Struthio camelus: one gene and its partner. The protein of the gene in region 2 purifies or fractionates together with the protein of the main gene of each other region. This does not show direct contact. Links are inferred from orthologs where the notes say so. Each region holds a gene or a part of one and is shown on either strand. Other genes may lie near its edges.

Region 1 (7,254 bases), on a different chromosome or scaffold from region 2:
TTCCTCTTGAATCACTCTCTATTTACAGGTTTAATGAGGAAGAACATGCAATGCCTACCAAGCCTGAAAAAGAAAAAGGCTGAAATAGTACTTGCACCTGGTATTTTATAATGCATTCTGCACAGATCAGAATTACTCCCACTTCGCTAGGGGAAAACAGATAAAGTAATCTATCCAGCAGGTCAGTGACAGAGCTGGGAACAGACTCATGTCTCCAAGTTCCAGTCCCATACTCCATTTTTGATGTCACACCAAAAGCAAAAAGGAGCTCACCAGCATTTACCACCTTAACTCACACCATAATCAAGACAGATCCACCAGTTACATCAGTACTTAATAATCGGAAGTGACAGGAGTCAACAGAAAAGGCCTCGTTCTAGAAACTCTATAAATAATAAGAAAGCCACAAAACAGCCTGGACATCTTGCCAGGGTATGGGAAGAGACAGGAAGAGACCTCTATCTTGTCATGGGGACAGGAATGACTGGTGGGCTTACTACGCTCAAGAGAAACAACCACAGGTGTACAAATCACGCGTTACTTCTCAGTCCACAGCACTTGACCCAAAGAATTCATGGAGCACTTTTGAAATAAGATTTTCTTTCCAAACCAGATACAGAGTTCTCACACTGGCACATACGACAGGTCCCTCCACACCAGAATCCAACCTAGGATTGACCAGAAGTTTTTGTTCCCTTGAAAGATTTAAGAATTACCAGAAACTCCAGCTGATGCACTACAACATGCCCATCATATATCTCTCTCTCTCTCTGGGCTCTAGCACACGACGACCGAGACCCTGAAAACACTACAATTAGTACCTCTTCCAAGCTATCGTTACTTAACTACCAAGGTTGCTATTATAAAAGAAATATCTACCCCCTTTTTTAAGCCTCATGTAGATCCTGGCTCATCATCTTCTTGTGAACAACAGATGCACACAAAACCAAACATTTATCCACAAACCTCAACTGTGAGTGGTTCAAAATTCGTAACACTGTCCTTAAAAGTGGCTTTTTGGTCCGGCTTGAACTTCTTCTTCTGCTTTCCTTGATCTCCTTGACTCCCTTTTCTTTTCTGTGTTTGTTCTTCATGATGAATCTAAAGCAGATTATATAAGCAGTCAGGAAAATAACAAAAGTAAGCAAAGAGATGACCACCGTGCTAAGGAAGAACTCCACTGCTAGGAATACAATTAGAGGAAAATACCAGGACTGTAGAGAAAAGGGAACACCCTTGCTAATCCCTATGTGTCTACATGCAAGTCTTCCAAAATATCTCCTTTTGGGCTGAGGCTGACCATTTATAAAACTGTAAAACTTACAGCGCTCAGAAGTATACGGTAAAAGTGATTTGCAACATCTGCCACTAAATAGAAAGACTAACAAACTTGGCCTACATCCACTGACTCCAGCATCACTATACAAATTGGTCCAATCCTGCCACGCAGAAGCGAGCAACTCAGGATCAGATACTTGTGGAACGTTAAAATATTGAAGTCTGATCAGTAATTTTGATTGAAGTTTTTGTCATCACGTTCACCAAGTACCAGATGTCCAAGACATCTAAAAGGTCACAAGACTGGTGCATGTCAGCAGATATGTCTTTCCCAAAGTCCCAATAACACAAACGCTATCAGACAAATCTATAGAAGTCAGTGATAGGAAGGATTTCAGGCTATAGTCTGACAGTGGAAGAGCTCTGAGAAGAGTTAATTGAGAACATACAAACAACATACATCAAATAAGTTGTCCTGCTCTATCTTTGGCTTAGGTGTTTTTCCCTCCGTGGGTTTTTTCTGGGTGCCACCTCGAGGAAAGTTTTCTTCCATGGATGCCATGTTTACACTTCTAGGGGGCAAACAACAAAACAGATTAAATATACAGTTATTATGACTACTCCTCACCAAAACCAAAAAAAGCCAAAAGAGTTACTCAAAAACTAAACAAGAATTCCGATGCCTACTTTGCAATTAATCAGTGGCAAAATCCAAACTCTCGCCCAAACGTCTCTAACGTTTGACTACACCGAAGTGTTGTGAGGGTGTATCTAAACATATGCACCCCTACCTTTTTTTTTTAAACTACTGCCCAATTCTACTTGACTAAAGTATCAATTTTCTAAGGCAATTAAAGCACCCTGCACATATTCAGAAAAGCATTTTAGTGACATATGTTCTCAGTAGAGGCCTCTGTTGCACTAAACGGACAAGCTGAAATTACCAGCTTTAGTCATTAAGCAGAAAAATCTTGATTAAAACAATACGTAAGCTTGGTCTGCGTTCTGACTTTTGAGCTGCTGCCTTAAAACGTGATATGACTTCACTGGTCATTGTGCAAACTAGGAATAGGCCTATATGTATTTAACTTAACAGCTATACTTAATCTTACTTTGCTTCAATTAAGAAATAAAAGCCTTTTTTATTAGGTCATGGTTCACATTCTGTGAATTACTTCGGTCCACAGCACTTACATGGAAATCAGCATTACCTTGTTAGCTTGAGAGCTTTTTAAATGGTTTATTAATCATGCAAAAACTACTTTAAACACGTTGAGTACATAATAAAACTAAAGCTCATCAAAAACACGCTTAATCAAAAGACCCACGCAGCAGTAAGACATCTTCCACGGCTGGTAACTGAACCACTTGCATGGGGGGGTCCCACCTTCTCGCACCTCCCTTCTCAGAGCTGCTCCCAACTCCCAAGACACTCTCCACTTTGGATTAAACACTCTTAAAAACTTAAAGTAACAGAAAGATTTCCTGCCTTCTCAGCGCAGGCACCGCTCCGACTAGAGCGCGGTAACCCGGGGCCGCCCAGGCCTTCCCGCAGCCACCCGCGGCCGCGCACCCAGCCGCCCCGGGGGGCTCCCTTACCTCCCGGGGCCTCCTGCCGCTCCGGGGCCCGCGGGCCTCCCTCGCTGCCGCGGGACCGGGCCGGGACTCGGCCAGGGCCGGGGCCGAGACCGGGGCCGAGATCACCCGCACCTCCCTCCCTCGGCTGCACGTGCGGCCGCCGCGCCGCCCGGAAACACCGCGCGCAGGGCAAGGGTCAAAGGGCAAAGGACAAGCGGAAGCAGCGAGCGGGCCCCGCGGCCAACCAGAGGGGAAGGGGGAGGAGGACCGCCCCCCTCGGCGGCGCAGCCAATCCGCGCCTCTCGCCGCGGCGCCGTACGGTTCGCGCGGCCCAGTAGGCGCCGGCGGGCGGGCGGGGTGCTGGCGGCCGCCATTTTGTGGGAGGGCGTTAGCGAAGGGCAGAGCGCGGCAGCGGCTGAAGGGTGGCTCCGGCCCAGGTACTTGGGGGCGCCCCGCGGGGAGGGGGCTGTCCCGTCCCGAGGGGTCGTCGGGGCCGGCGCCTCCTGCGCTGGCGAGCCGGGCCCGGCTCGGCCCTCAGCGTTGGGCTGGGGCGGGCGGGCGGGTGGCGGCGCCGGTCAAGGGCATCGGGCCGCCCCGAGGGAGGCGGGTGGCGGTGAGCCGCCCGCGGCCGCTGCGGCCTGGGCAGGTGACCTTGCCTTCCCCCGACCCCTGCTGCCAGCACGGAGGGGTTTTACTTACCTAACGTCCGCGGGCGGCGTGGGGTAATGAGCCCGGGTGCGTGCAGGGGGGCCGGCCTGATAGCGGCCTGGAGCTGCGCCGTTGGGTCGGGCTGGTGCAGCAGTTGCGTTGATGACGGGGAACCTGCTGCGGAGGTTCCCCGCCGCCCTCTCCTGCGAGCGGTGCCGCCCCTCGGCCTGGTTCGGCGCGTAACCCTATGGCACGCGTACCGCTTCTGCGCTGCGTTAGCAAATAACGAATATTTATCCTCAATATATTTTAAAACCAAAATGTATCTTTAAGCATAAGGAAACAACTTTTTTTTTTTTTTTTTGTGCTCTGAGGGTGTTTGAATGCAGACTGCCCGGAGAGGTTGTGGAGTCTCCATCCTTGGAGATTTTCAAAACCTCTCTGGCCACAGTCTTGGGTAACCTGCTCTAGCTGACCCTGTTGTGAGCAGAGGGTTGGACCTGACAATTTCCAGAGGTCCCCTCCAACCTCAGCTGTTCTGTGATTCTAAATGTATATTATTGATATGCTAATCTTCTTACTGTCACGTTAACCAGCTCCTCACAGAGGATCTGAAACTCTCATCTAGACAGACAAAATTCAAAAGTGTGTTCTCGTGTACTTGGTGGTTTTGGTGTGCCTGTGAAAGCACTTCACAGTGCTGTGTAATGCTCTGAGGCTGGGTAGCCAGCTCAGTTGACTCAGTGCTCTAGCAGAAAACTAACCAGCAAAATATATATATATATATATATATTTTTTTTTTTAGCCAAGCCTATGAGTGTTTAGGGTGGGCACAAAAGATGCAGTGGAAACGTGCAACTGCGAGCAGGGCTGTTTTCATTGACAGCTTGCACCGTCATAGACAGCATAAAAGAGTTGCAAAACTGCATTTTGAATCACAAAATGTAGCAGGGGTCTAGTCCCAATTTTGTCAACCGGTTTTTGATATATAGTTGTCATAGCTGAACTAGTGAAGATTTATCTTGATTAGGTATTGCAAATTCCTGAACAACCAGTAGAAGGTTGCCTCTTTTGAATGATTGTAGGCAGGACTGGCAGTTCTCTCTTTTGTAAGTATTTTAAAGAATTTTCCCTTACCTCTTCATCAAACTGATTTTTTTTTTTCCATGCTTAAACTCAGTCGAATGAATTCAGAAAATCATAAATCTTTCTGTCCAGAACCCCTCACTTCCATGTGTGCGTTCATGTCACTTGCGTGGCATTGTATTTTAAGATATAAGTGCTCTGAATATGTCTACCCCTTATGTATTTTTAGTGTCTGTTGAATGTCCTGAGAGCAGACTTAATACTTGACAAGGGAAGTATTAAGTTCAGTGTAGAGTTTAAAACAATTATGTAGTCATCCTGTCGCAACTCACTGTAAAACTCATTAACTTTATTGCTTGTTAGGACAAGTGACCATGGCAGGCCATGACTCAGGATCTCAACACCAGTTCACTGGATTTCAGAAATACTTCAATTCCTATACCATCACAGGCAGGAGGAATGTATGTATTATGTAAATTAACTTTTGTAGTCTAGCATAATGGTGTTTTGGGGGGTTTTAGCCTGAAACTAAACTTTTATGTTTTTCAGTATGTAATAGCGACGTATACAAGCATTGCAATGCTCATCTTATACTTCAAGCTTAGGCCTAAAAAGAAAACTCCTGCTGTGGCAGAAAAGTAAATGGTAAGTGGCTGGTGTTCTTCCAGGACCAAAATGATTCAATGCCAGTCCAAGGAGAAGGAGTGAGGAAGGATGAGTTGCTAACAAAATATGATTAGAGATAGACGTGTAGGCACAGGAACCTCATGGTTCAGTTGAGGTTTAAAATGGTAAATACAAAGTCAGTTTGCTTTGGAGTATTTTGAAAGAAGTTGGTTGCTAATGGGGCATGTGGAAATTATGGGTTACCAGGATTGTTACTCTTCTGGAACGGTAAAGAGGGTTAGAGATGTTAGAGGGGGAGGAAGAGCAAGCAAGAAAGGGGGAATGGAAGGGGGTTGCAGCTAGGTGTCTCGGGCTTTGCCTAAAACAACAGTGCCTCTAGCCTGACGTTTGCTGTAAAATAGGGCTAACCTGTCACTTTATTGGGTATAGAAGTAATGAAGTAATATTTGAGGACTTGTTTGTTAGTGATATTGGAGAATTCCAAGAAGAGATTAATACATTCTCTTCAAACCTTGCTTTAAACAGAGTAAAGGAACTATATACCCTGCACACCTGATTATGGAAGAGTCCTATAGAACAGTGCTTAGACTAACGTAGTGAATCCCTGGAAGGGTGAACTAAGCCTGCATGGGTGGCTATTCTTCTTATTTCTTAACATAAGCATTTGACTTGTGAGTTAGAGCATGTTAAAAAGAAGGTCCATGCGACTAAATCTGATAAAGCTTAGCAGACTTCTACGTTCTGGTATAGCAACAAACAAGTGTTACAAAATACTGGCAAATAGTAGAGTCCACTTTCAAATACAAAATTCCCACTGAAATGGCGTTTTGAAAGAAACTGTGGGCTGTCCTTATAATCTGCAGTAACTGGAAACTAATAAGCTTAGCATGTTAAAAGAATATCTGTCATTTTTGTCTTGGGTATGGTCAAGCTTGCTTGCTCGCTCTTAACTAGTATTGTTTGGCCTTTAGGGAGAGGGACGCTTGGTCACTAGTACCACAGTGCAAGACTTGCTATGGTTGATCTCTCTTCTGTTGGCAGGTTGCTGGCATGGCTGAACCTCCCATCATTGTAACAGAAGTTGATGTCCTGTTATGGCTAGTCTAATAAAATATATACAATGACTTGTTTTATCTAAAATATGAAATGGTGAAACGGAGCATAATTGTGACACTTAGCTTTTTTTTTTTTTTCCTCTGTCAAAAATATTTATCTGTAGTGAAGTAGCTGATTCTTGTCACGGCTAGCCTGACTTAACTCTTTTGCCGTTATGATATATCATCCTAAAATGTCCTGAGCACCAGTAGCAACGTGGCCATGAGAGACTTCAGCAGCATGAATGTCCTACCAAGCACAGAGCTTGCAGCTGATCGAAGCATCTCCACGCTTCCAAATGGCTTACTGGTTGTCCTGGCTGCTCCCAATTTCTGGATTCTAAGTTGGTGTTTTAAAAGTTTAAAAGGAAACCATGGCTCCTTCGCTCATAGCAATTTGATGCAGATTAATAGGATTTCCTTCTGCCTCAGTTGTCTGTATTGTGCAACTTCTCATTACAGAACCTGTTTGCTTTGGATGGAAAAACCTCCCAAATCTAGTGTGCGTGCCCCCTTTTCCCAGGGAGGACAAAAGATTGATTATATGGAGGTGCTTGTTTTCTTTTGCTTATCAATTACTTCGATTCCTAATCTCAATGTTATCTATTATATAGTGCAGTGACTCCTCAGCATTCAGCTCAGAGTCTTGCTTTGCACTGCTTTAGTCACCTTAGTTGAAAGATTGGGGGTGAGGGAGTTAGAGGACCAAAACAATGAATTGCAGCGCTTGATGCTGGAGCCCAGCTATTAAATAGGGTATTTAAGTTTTTTCTGTTAGAAGCCTCTCTTGCAAAAGTAACTGTTTCTGTTAGCTGTGCAGGAGAGGCTTGTAACAGCCAGAAAGAAAATGGCTTACTTCTTGCTGATATTAAACCCTTATAATGGATTGTGTGTTGCTTGTCCAACCTGGAGCGTATCATGCCACATCAAGGCCAAGTGTTTT
Region 2 (7,544 bases):
TCACAGCTGTCATTAAGACCAGGCATTTAAGAAAACCATCACATGCCACTTTCTACCTCCACATACATCAATCCTCCTCCTCTTTCACTTTTATCCTTTTTTCTATCTCATACCAAGCCCCCTGCCACACTTGCGTAACTGACAGGTATGCATCTTTATTCATCTAGTTTTATCAAGTTCATAGAGCACAGTCACCAAGTATTCACTAGCTTCATACCTGAGCTTCCAAAAACTCCTTGCTCTGCTTACCATGTCAATTTTTCTTTGTTTCTAGCTATGTCCAATCCTTTCAGAAATTCCCAGTTTGTCACATGTTATTTCAACTTTCTTGTCTCTCCGACAGGTTACCTCCCTTTGACTTTAAAAGGCAGTTTTCTGAATTAGACCTTTTCTCTCACAACCTCAAAAACTAAGTACTGATGCTGTAAGTCCATCAATTTGCCTCATCCTCCATGAAGAGGTCACAGCAACCGGAAGAGACGGTAATTTTCAAAACTAGGAACTTTGGATAAGCCCACACAACTGAGGTTATCATTCAGTGGCTCATTTCATGTGTGCTACAAACAGGCAGGCATGAGAACAATCCACATCGACTTGCCCTACCCATACTTTACAGTATTCTTCCCTCAAGAGAGATTCTAAAAGGCCATTAAGTACAAAGTGGTCACCGTCAAGTCCAGATTGTGTTTTTCATAAACTGCAAGGACTCTATAAACATAGTTCACACAATACTACAATATTCAAATTAACATCATAAGTGTTATGTATTACTTTGAATGAGTTTTAACTCAGGCAGCCATTGTTATCCTGGACTCCTGTAGGAAGCACTCTAGAATCCTAAAATTCACTTATTTAGAAGTGTCATCAAGACATCTCTCTACATTAAATGCGACTGCAATGTAATGTGATTAAATACACATGCTATTAAATGCTGGACTAAAGTACACAGATGTGACAACGTTTAAATCCCTTCCCTGTGAAGTTGTGTCACGTTTGTGCTAACCAAAACAGAAGTCGCATGCTTAGCCCAGAGTAGAGAAGTGCAGTGTCCTTCTTGCTGGGACAGCAGAAAGAACTAAGGACATATTTAAGAACTCTCAATATGCACACCTTGATTTCAAGGAGTATCCTGTTCAGTGAGCAGCTGCTCTGTCTGATTAAATGTATGAATCAAAGACAGTGTTTCCCATAACATCCTTAAAAAGAGGACAACACTACCAAAAAACGTATCAGAACATAAAAGCCTTTTCCCCTCCAAATTAGATGCAACATTAGCTGCTGATTGGGGGAAAAAGGCACTGGTATTATAATGCTTGGGGAACACAAAGAAAAAGTTTTCAAAGTAAAGTTTCCCCAGTCCGCACCCATCTGTGAAAAATATAAATCCAATCCCTGCTTTTGCTCCTGCAGCATCTAAACCGTTGCACCAGAGATACCAGAAGACATAGGCCTGCCCTCATCCCTTTTAGCAAATTTACTGACCTATTGTGAACTCATTTTTTTTAAAGAACTTTTTTTTTAAAACCTGGTGTCACTTGCTATAAGCCATGAAACAACAATAGAGAATTTTCAAGGTAAAACGGGATGTTCAGTTCCTAATAAGAGGTTATCTAGCAAACTGACTCAAAACACTTGCAAATGCCAGACAGAACAGATGTTTAAGGAACAAATTTACATGTTACAAAAGCTCACTTTTCATAACGTAGCATATTATTACTCAAAAAACAAAATTCAAGCTTGCACCTTAAAAAGTAGATAATACTTGCCGTTCTCAAAGATAACTGATGCTCATTTTCTTCATCATCTACCTTGAACTGATACTCCTTGTCTGCTTTAAGCTCACAGCCTGTAAAAAAAAAAAATCATTAAGTTGCAAGCAAACTATTGTTTTCAGGAACAGGTACTTGCTAGCCACTTGTTACTTAGAAGTGTAATGCTTTCTGCTTTATGGTGCTGCATTTGCATAGAAAACCAACCCCACTGCATGCGTGCAAAGAAACTCAAGAGAAACGCGTAGGGAGGGGAAAACCCCAGGCGAGTCCCGGCCCATGGCCTACCACGCAGCTCCTACCCGCAGCGTCAGCCATTACACTTCGTCCAAGACCAGCCGCTACAAAACCAGCGGCTTCCAGCGCCGCTGCGCACTGCCCGCGCTGCCGCCGGCCATGTGCCACCCCCGGCGAGGCGAGGCGTGGGGCGGGCGGGTCGGCCGGCTTCCCCTCGGGCCGGCAGCGGGCAAGGCGGCCCGCCGCCCTCCACGTGCTCCACCTCCCGCCGCGCCGCCATGTGCTCGGGCCGCCCGCCGGCTCCGCGCCGCCCGCAACGCAACGTGCCCGCGTCCCGAAAGGGACGAGCGGCCGGGCGAGCGGCGACCGGGCCGGGCGGCGGGGGCGCGGGCCAACAAAAGCCAGCCCCCGCCAGGCCGCCGCCGCCACGTGCCAGCGGCCCGCCACGTGGGGCGCGCGCGCCGGCCGAACGCGCGGCTAACGGACGCCGGCGCGCGGCTAACGGACGCGCGGCCAACGGACGCCGGCGCGCGGCCCACCGAGGCCGGCGCCCCCCCCACGGTGTTTCCCCCCCCCCCCCGCGGCGACCGCCGAGGGCCGCAGCAGGCCCGCGGCTCCCATCGGGCCTCGCCGCCGCTGCCAGCCCGCCCCCCCTCCCCCCGCCGCCGCCGCCCACCCGGCCCAGGCGGGGAGCGGAGGCCTAAGGGAGCGGATGGCGGCCGTCAGGGGCCGGGGCCGGGCGAGGAGGGGAGAGCGGGGCGCCGCGGGGGCCGTTACCGAAGAGAAAGGTCTGCGGGCGCAGGGGGCCCATGCTCTCCATGTCCATGGCGCTGTCCTCCATCTTCTCGGGCCTGCTCGGGCGGGAGGCGCGGGGGCGGGATGCGGTGCTGCGGGCGGACGCGCACTAAAGGAAGCCGCGCGCCCGCCCACTCCCAGATATAGCCCGCGCGCTCTCGCGAGAGCGCCGCGCCGCGCCCCGCCCCTCCCCGCCGCCGCCGCCGCCCCACTGCGCAGGCGCCGCGCGGCGTTGGGGGGAGGGGGGGGCGGGCGCCCGCGCGCGCGGCCGGCGGGCGGGCTGGGCGGGGGGCTGCGGCGGTCACAAAATGGTGGCGGGGCCGAGGCGGCCGGCGGGTGAGGCGTTGGCCTGCGAACGAAACCTGCCGTCGCCAACGAGGCAGCCGCGCGGTGGCTCGCGTAGCTCCCTGCCGGCCTTCGTACCCGCGTAGGCGGGGGCTGCCGCGCGCCGGCCGCGCAGCCGGGGCCAGGCGGCGGCGGCAGTGTGCGGGGAGCTCCGCCGGGGCCGGCATTTGATGGGATAAAAGCATATAGCCTCACATCGCCCGGGTGTCTGCAGTGACTGAAACGTGTAATACATAACAGCAGTATTCATAAAGGCAGAAAACGAAACAACGAAGAATCGACATGGTTATTTTACAGCGGCGCTTACATGCCAAAATGTGGCGTTCACCTTCTTCCTTAGCCTCCCGCAAAGCTCGCCCCCTCTTTGAAAAACGGTATATATCTACAGCACGTACGCAGTCAGCTTATTTTGGGATGCAAGGTCTCATATTCTGGTGCAGAATACAATTTGTTTTCCAAATGTGAGGTTACTTAAGCCACAGGCTTCCCAGGATAAAGGCCCCGACAGTCACGTTAACATTAAAACTGCTTGGGGAAACTAAGGTTTTGTCAGGTGGATTGCCACAGGATAACTAAAATAACAGTAAGAATGAAATCAGCTTCTGTGTGGAAAAAAAAAAAAGGTACAAGCGTAGATAGTCGTGCTTTTTACCCTGTGACTGAGGATGGGAGATTTGGGCCCTGGGAGGTCACTGTGAGCACCCTCTTCTAGAATCAGAATGGTTTAGTTGGGAAGAGACCTCTGGCATCATCTGGTCCAACACCCTGCTCAACGCAGCACCCCCAAGTCACGTTAAGGGAGGGCTAGTTTGCTACGGTGCAGTAACTAACAAATGCTAGCTACAGCTGATTTGGAAATGCTGATACAAGTAAAAATTATGGGGTTTTTTTTCTGTTTCTCTTCTCAATTTCCTACCAGCTCTTACTCTTTATTTAAATACATGGTGGCACAGTTGTAGGATGTGACAATTAAGGGCTTTTAAGCAAAACCAGAGAAACTAACAGTCATTTTTATTTCTCTTTCTTCTTTTGCATCCTACAGTAGAAACATTGGTTAATTTGCAAACTGTGCATCATATATAGACAGAGAAATAACACACTGGTGGATGTCAAGTCAAAACAAAGTTTTGCCCTGTTTTGAGCCTGGTTTCAGCTCCTACGAAAGCTCTGTGAGCATTCCTGAGTTGCATAACAGGTTTATTGTTCCAGTGGAACATGTATGTGGATATTGTGGGTATGGGACCAGAATCATCTCTCCAGACACTAAGTTCGTGTCAGAAAAAAAAGAACTGTATCAGGGCAAAGACTTTAAGCCAGATGCATCTGTTAATGGGGAACTCATGCTGGGAACAGGGAAGAGGTGACAGGAGCATGGACACTTCTATAACAGGTGTGGGGCACTGCATTTTGCTTCGGCCCATATTCTGCGTTCCTCTTGATGTATTCTTTTTCACAAGTAGTTTTTCCTTCCCTGCTGCATCTTTGTTTCCTAAGAGTTCACTGGCCCACGCAGCTCATTGTACCCTACAGTCGCGTTTGCCACGTGCAACAGTGTTCGCCTCTGAATGTGCCACGGGACACACCATGAACGCTCCTGAGGCAACTGCAGGTAACAGTTAAGAGAACGTAAGTGCGCCCGATCAACATATCTCATTACACGGACATGGAAATGCAGAATTATCTAACATATCACTGATCTGGTACAAGTAAGACTTAATTAGTTAAGTTTGGTACAAGTAAGACTTAATTAGTTAGGTTTGCATCTGTTTTCTATTACAATGCCAAATTTAAGAGCTTGAGAGACATTTTTAACATCAGGAGGGAAAGGATGAAGACAAGTGTTTGAAAACATAAACACCAGGGAGATGCTTTGCTCTGTATGAATGTAAGATAAGGGCAGTCCACAGTTGTGTCTAATCTTATAATTTTGTTTAAGCGTTCATTAGGAGATAGATGGTGAATGAAAACAGGGAAGGTTCTCCACGAGGAGGCACAGTTTCTTTAAATTGGTAACAAAGCCAAAGAAAAGGTGTTGAAGGAGCATAAATCCTCAGGGAGGTGGAGAAAGATTTCAAGGACAATACAGTCTTTTCCCTGTCATTTCTAAGTTCGTGGCTTGGTATTAGAAGGAAGTAGCCTTCTTCGTGGCCTCTGCTACCATGGCACAGCAGACTGAAGAACTGCCACGCCGAAGATGCAGTGTTGCCACTCTTGAGTTTTTACTAGGAGTAATAATTTTGGGCGTAAAGCTCCCATTATCAGCATCCTGAGATTAAAGCCAGGAGGTGAATTCCAAACAGAGAGACAGCCCTCACGACGGTACGGAAAAACTCTAATCTTAAAAAGGGCCCAAGTATCAAAAGATAAACAGAACAAGCTGTCTGTGGACAGAAGAACTGATGCAGGTTGCTTTCCTAGGGACTTGTGTTTCCCAGCTGGTGTCTGATAAGGTGGCATCTCCCCCAGAAACTTCCTGATTAGGGCACTTCAAACCACTCTGTACTGTGTGGTTTCTCTAGTGTCTAGAGATGAACTCACTTTTTTCTGCAGGTCCAAAAAAAGACCGTTTCCCTCACCTGTGCTCAGCCAGCCGTTTGTATGGAACTTGCAGGAATCTGAGACCTCTGGCATTCAGCTGAACGTGGCTCAAACAGCACACCCGAGTCAGTTTTCGGGATAAGAACAGAGCGATCACAAAAGCATCACGGACAATCCTTCCAATTTACTCCTCTTAAAATCTCCTTAGGAAACGAGAGAGGGAACAGTGCTTATTTCATTTTCTGACCTTTAGTTTGGTTCATTTCTTATTATCTTTTAGAAGCAATTAATTCTAAGGGTGGACTTTAACGTAGGAAGAGTGGCAGTTTGGCAGTCCCGGATAGGGAAGGTGCAGGCATCTGCGAAGCAGCAGAGGCAGAAAAGCTCATCGAGTGTGGCAGCTGGTATCACTGGCAGAGCACAGGCATCACTATTTGATCAGCTGTTTCAGCCAAGAGGAGCTGTACTGACACAGATAAGACGTTTGTTTGATTTGGCTTGAAAATCGGAACCGGTATCAAAATTTAAAACGTAGTTTTGGCCCGATCTCAATGGCAAACAGACTGGAGTGGACGGGTGAATAACGCACAGCGACAGCAAAAGAGGCTGCAGCCGTTTGCACGTGCGCTTACCTGATGTAGTGCCAACGGCGGTACCCGACTGCTTGTGCAAACCAGCTGGAAACCTGCTGGGCGCAGCACTCGGCAGCTCGCAGGGCAGCCCGCGCTCGCAGGCCTCCACCCCGTCCTGTCGAAGGCGAACGGCGCAGCCACGGCAGCCCTTGCGCGGACAGAGTCGCTTTTAATTCAATTACAGTTTTCCATTACCAAGGAAATAAATGTGGGAGGAAACAAAGAACAGACACAGAGAGGCAAAACAAGGGTAGGAAGTGGAAGATAGATGCTTTCTGCGTCCCGTTTGGCTCCATAGGGCTTTACAAGGATTGTCATATATCATGACATTTATTATTTCTGTCATGTACTACGACGAGAAGTCCATTACAATATCGATCATTTCACTCTGCTTGAGTCTGCACTATGTGATACTCAGCGTAGCTGAAAAGTGATTTAGAAATAGCTGTACAGGGAGGACTGAGGCAGAAATCGGAGTCAACGTAGTTACCCTTAATAAAATCCTCTTTTTAGTAACCTTTTAGGAAATGGCATTGTAAACCGTGTTACAGCCACAGGACAGTTGCACAGCCAAGCAGTCAGAAGTTACAGGCAGAATTAAGATTTCTTATGCAGCCTTAACTGACACCCTGACATAACGATACAACCTTCAGCTATATTGCCACATACTCCCTTCACAGGATGCTTCCTCCTTTCAGTAGCTAGTAATTTCTGCCCCTGGAAAACTCAGGGCCAAATTTCTAAAAGGCATCAAAGCCCTTGCCCTTCCTTGAAATCAAGAAGCAGAATGCACTTTGAAACTTGAAAATCCAAATCTTTCAACTTAACCTGAAACAACTACCGGCTAGTTATAATAATCAGGTTGGGGCAAAAAGGGGTTGCACAAGGAAAGCCCAAGATAGTTATCGTTAGTATGACAGTATTTTTAGTTTGCTTTAAATGATTGTTACTACTGCCAGCACCTCGGCATCCTCTTCATTTAATTTTGGAGCGCTACAAGTTCTTTTGCAGACACTCTGCAACTTGCGTTAAAGAGCACTAAAACTAAAATTTTGCATAAAATACAGGTTCTGTAAAAACAAGCTAAAATTAAGGCTGATGAAGCATTTTGTTGTGTTTTTGAAAGAGTACAATGGTTGCACTGCTTTGTTTTTTAAAAATCAGATTCTCCTTACCTTCAGTAACAGGTAAACCAGTGTATTCCGCGACTACCAATCTTCTCCCTCTC

Evidence for each region. Proteins that work in one complex are often made in the same cells at the same time.
Region 1: the proteins of NPM1 (region 2) and PDCD11 purify together in Homo sapiens (affinity purification with mass spectrometry; 3 studies listed by BioGRID and IntAct, with this or other methods). This does not show direct contact. The link is inferred for Struthio camelus from reciprocal best matches to the Homo sapiens genes NPM1 and PDCD11.

Annotation. Positions count from the first base shown.
Region 1 is NC_090948.1:15,173,263-15,180,516, forward strand, and holds the start of PDCD11 (protein RRP5 homolog), read right to left. Parts: upstream 3,018-7,254; 5' UTR 2,878-3,017; intron 1,851-2,877; 5' UTR 1,841-1,850; coding exon 1,739-1,840; intron 1,102-1,738; coding exon 967-1,101; intron 1-966. UniProt on the Homo sapiens protein: Essential for the generation of mature 18S rRNA, specifically necessary for cleavages at sites A0, 1 and 2 of the 47S precursor. Directly interacts with U3 snoRNA. Involved in the biogenesis of rRNA.
Region 2 is NC_090954.1:20,056,166-20,063,709, reverse strand, and holds the start of NPM1 (nucleophosmin), read right to left. Parts: upstream 3,007-7,544; 5' UTR 2,848-3,006; coding exon 2,784-2,847; intron 1,847-2,783; coding exon 1,767-1,846; intron 1-1,766. UniProt on the Homo sapiens protein: Involved in diverse cellular processes such as ribosome biogenesis, centrosome duplication, protein chaperoning, histone assembly, cell proliferation, and regulation of tumor suppressors p53/TP53 and ARF.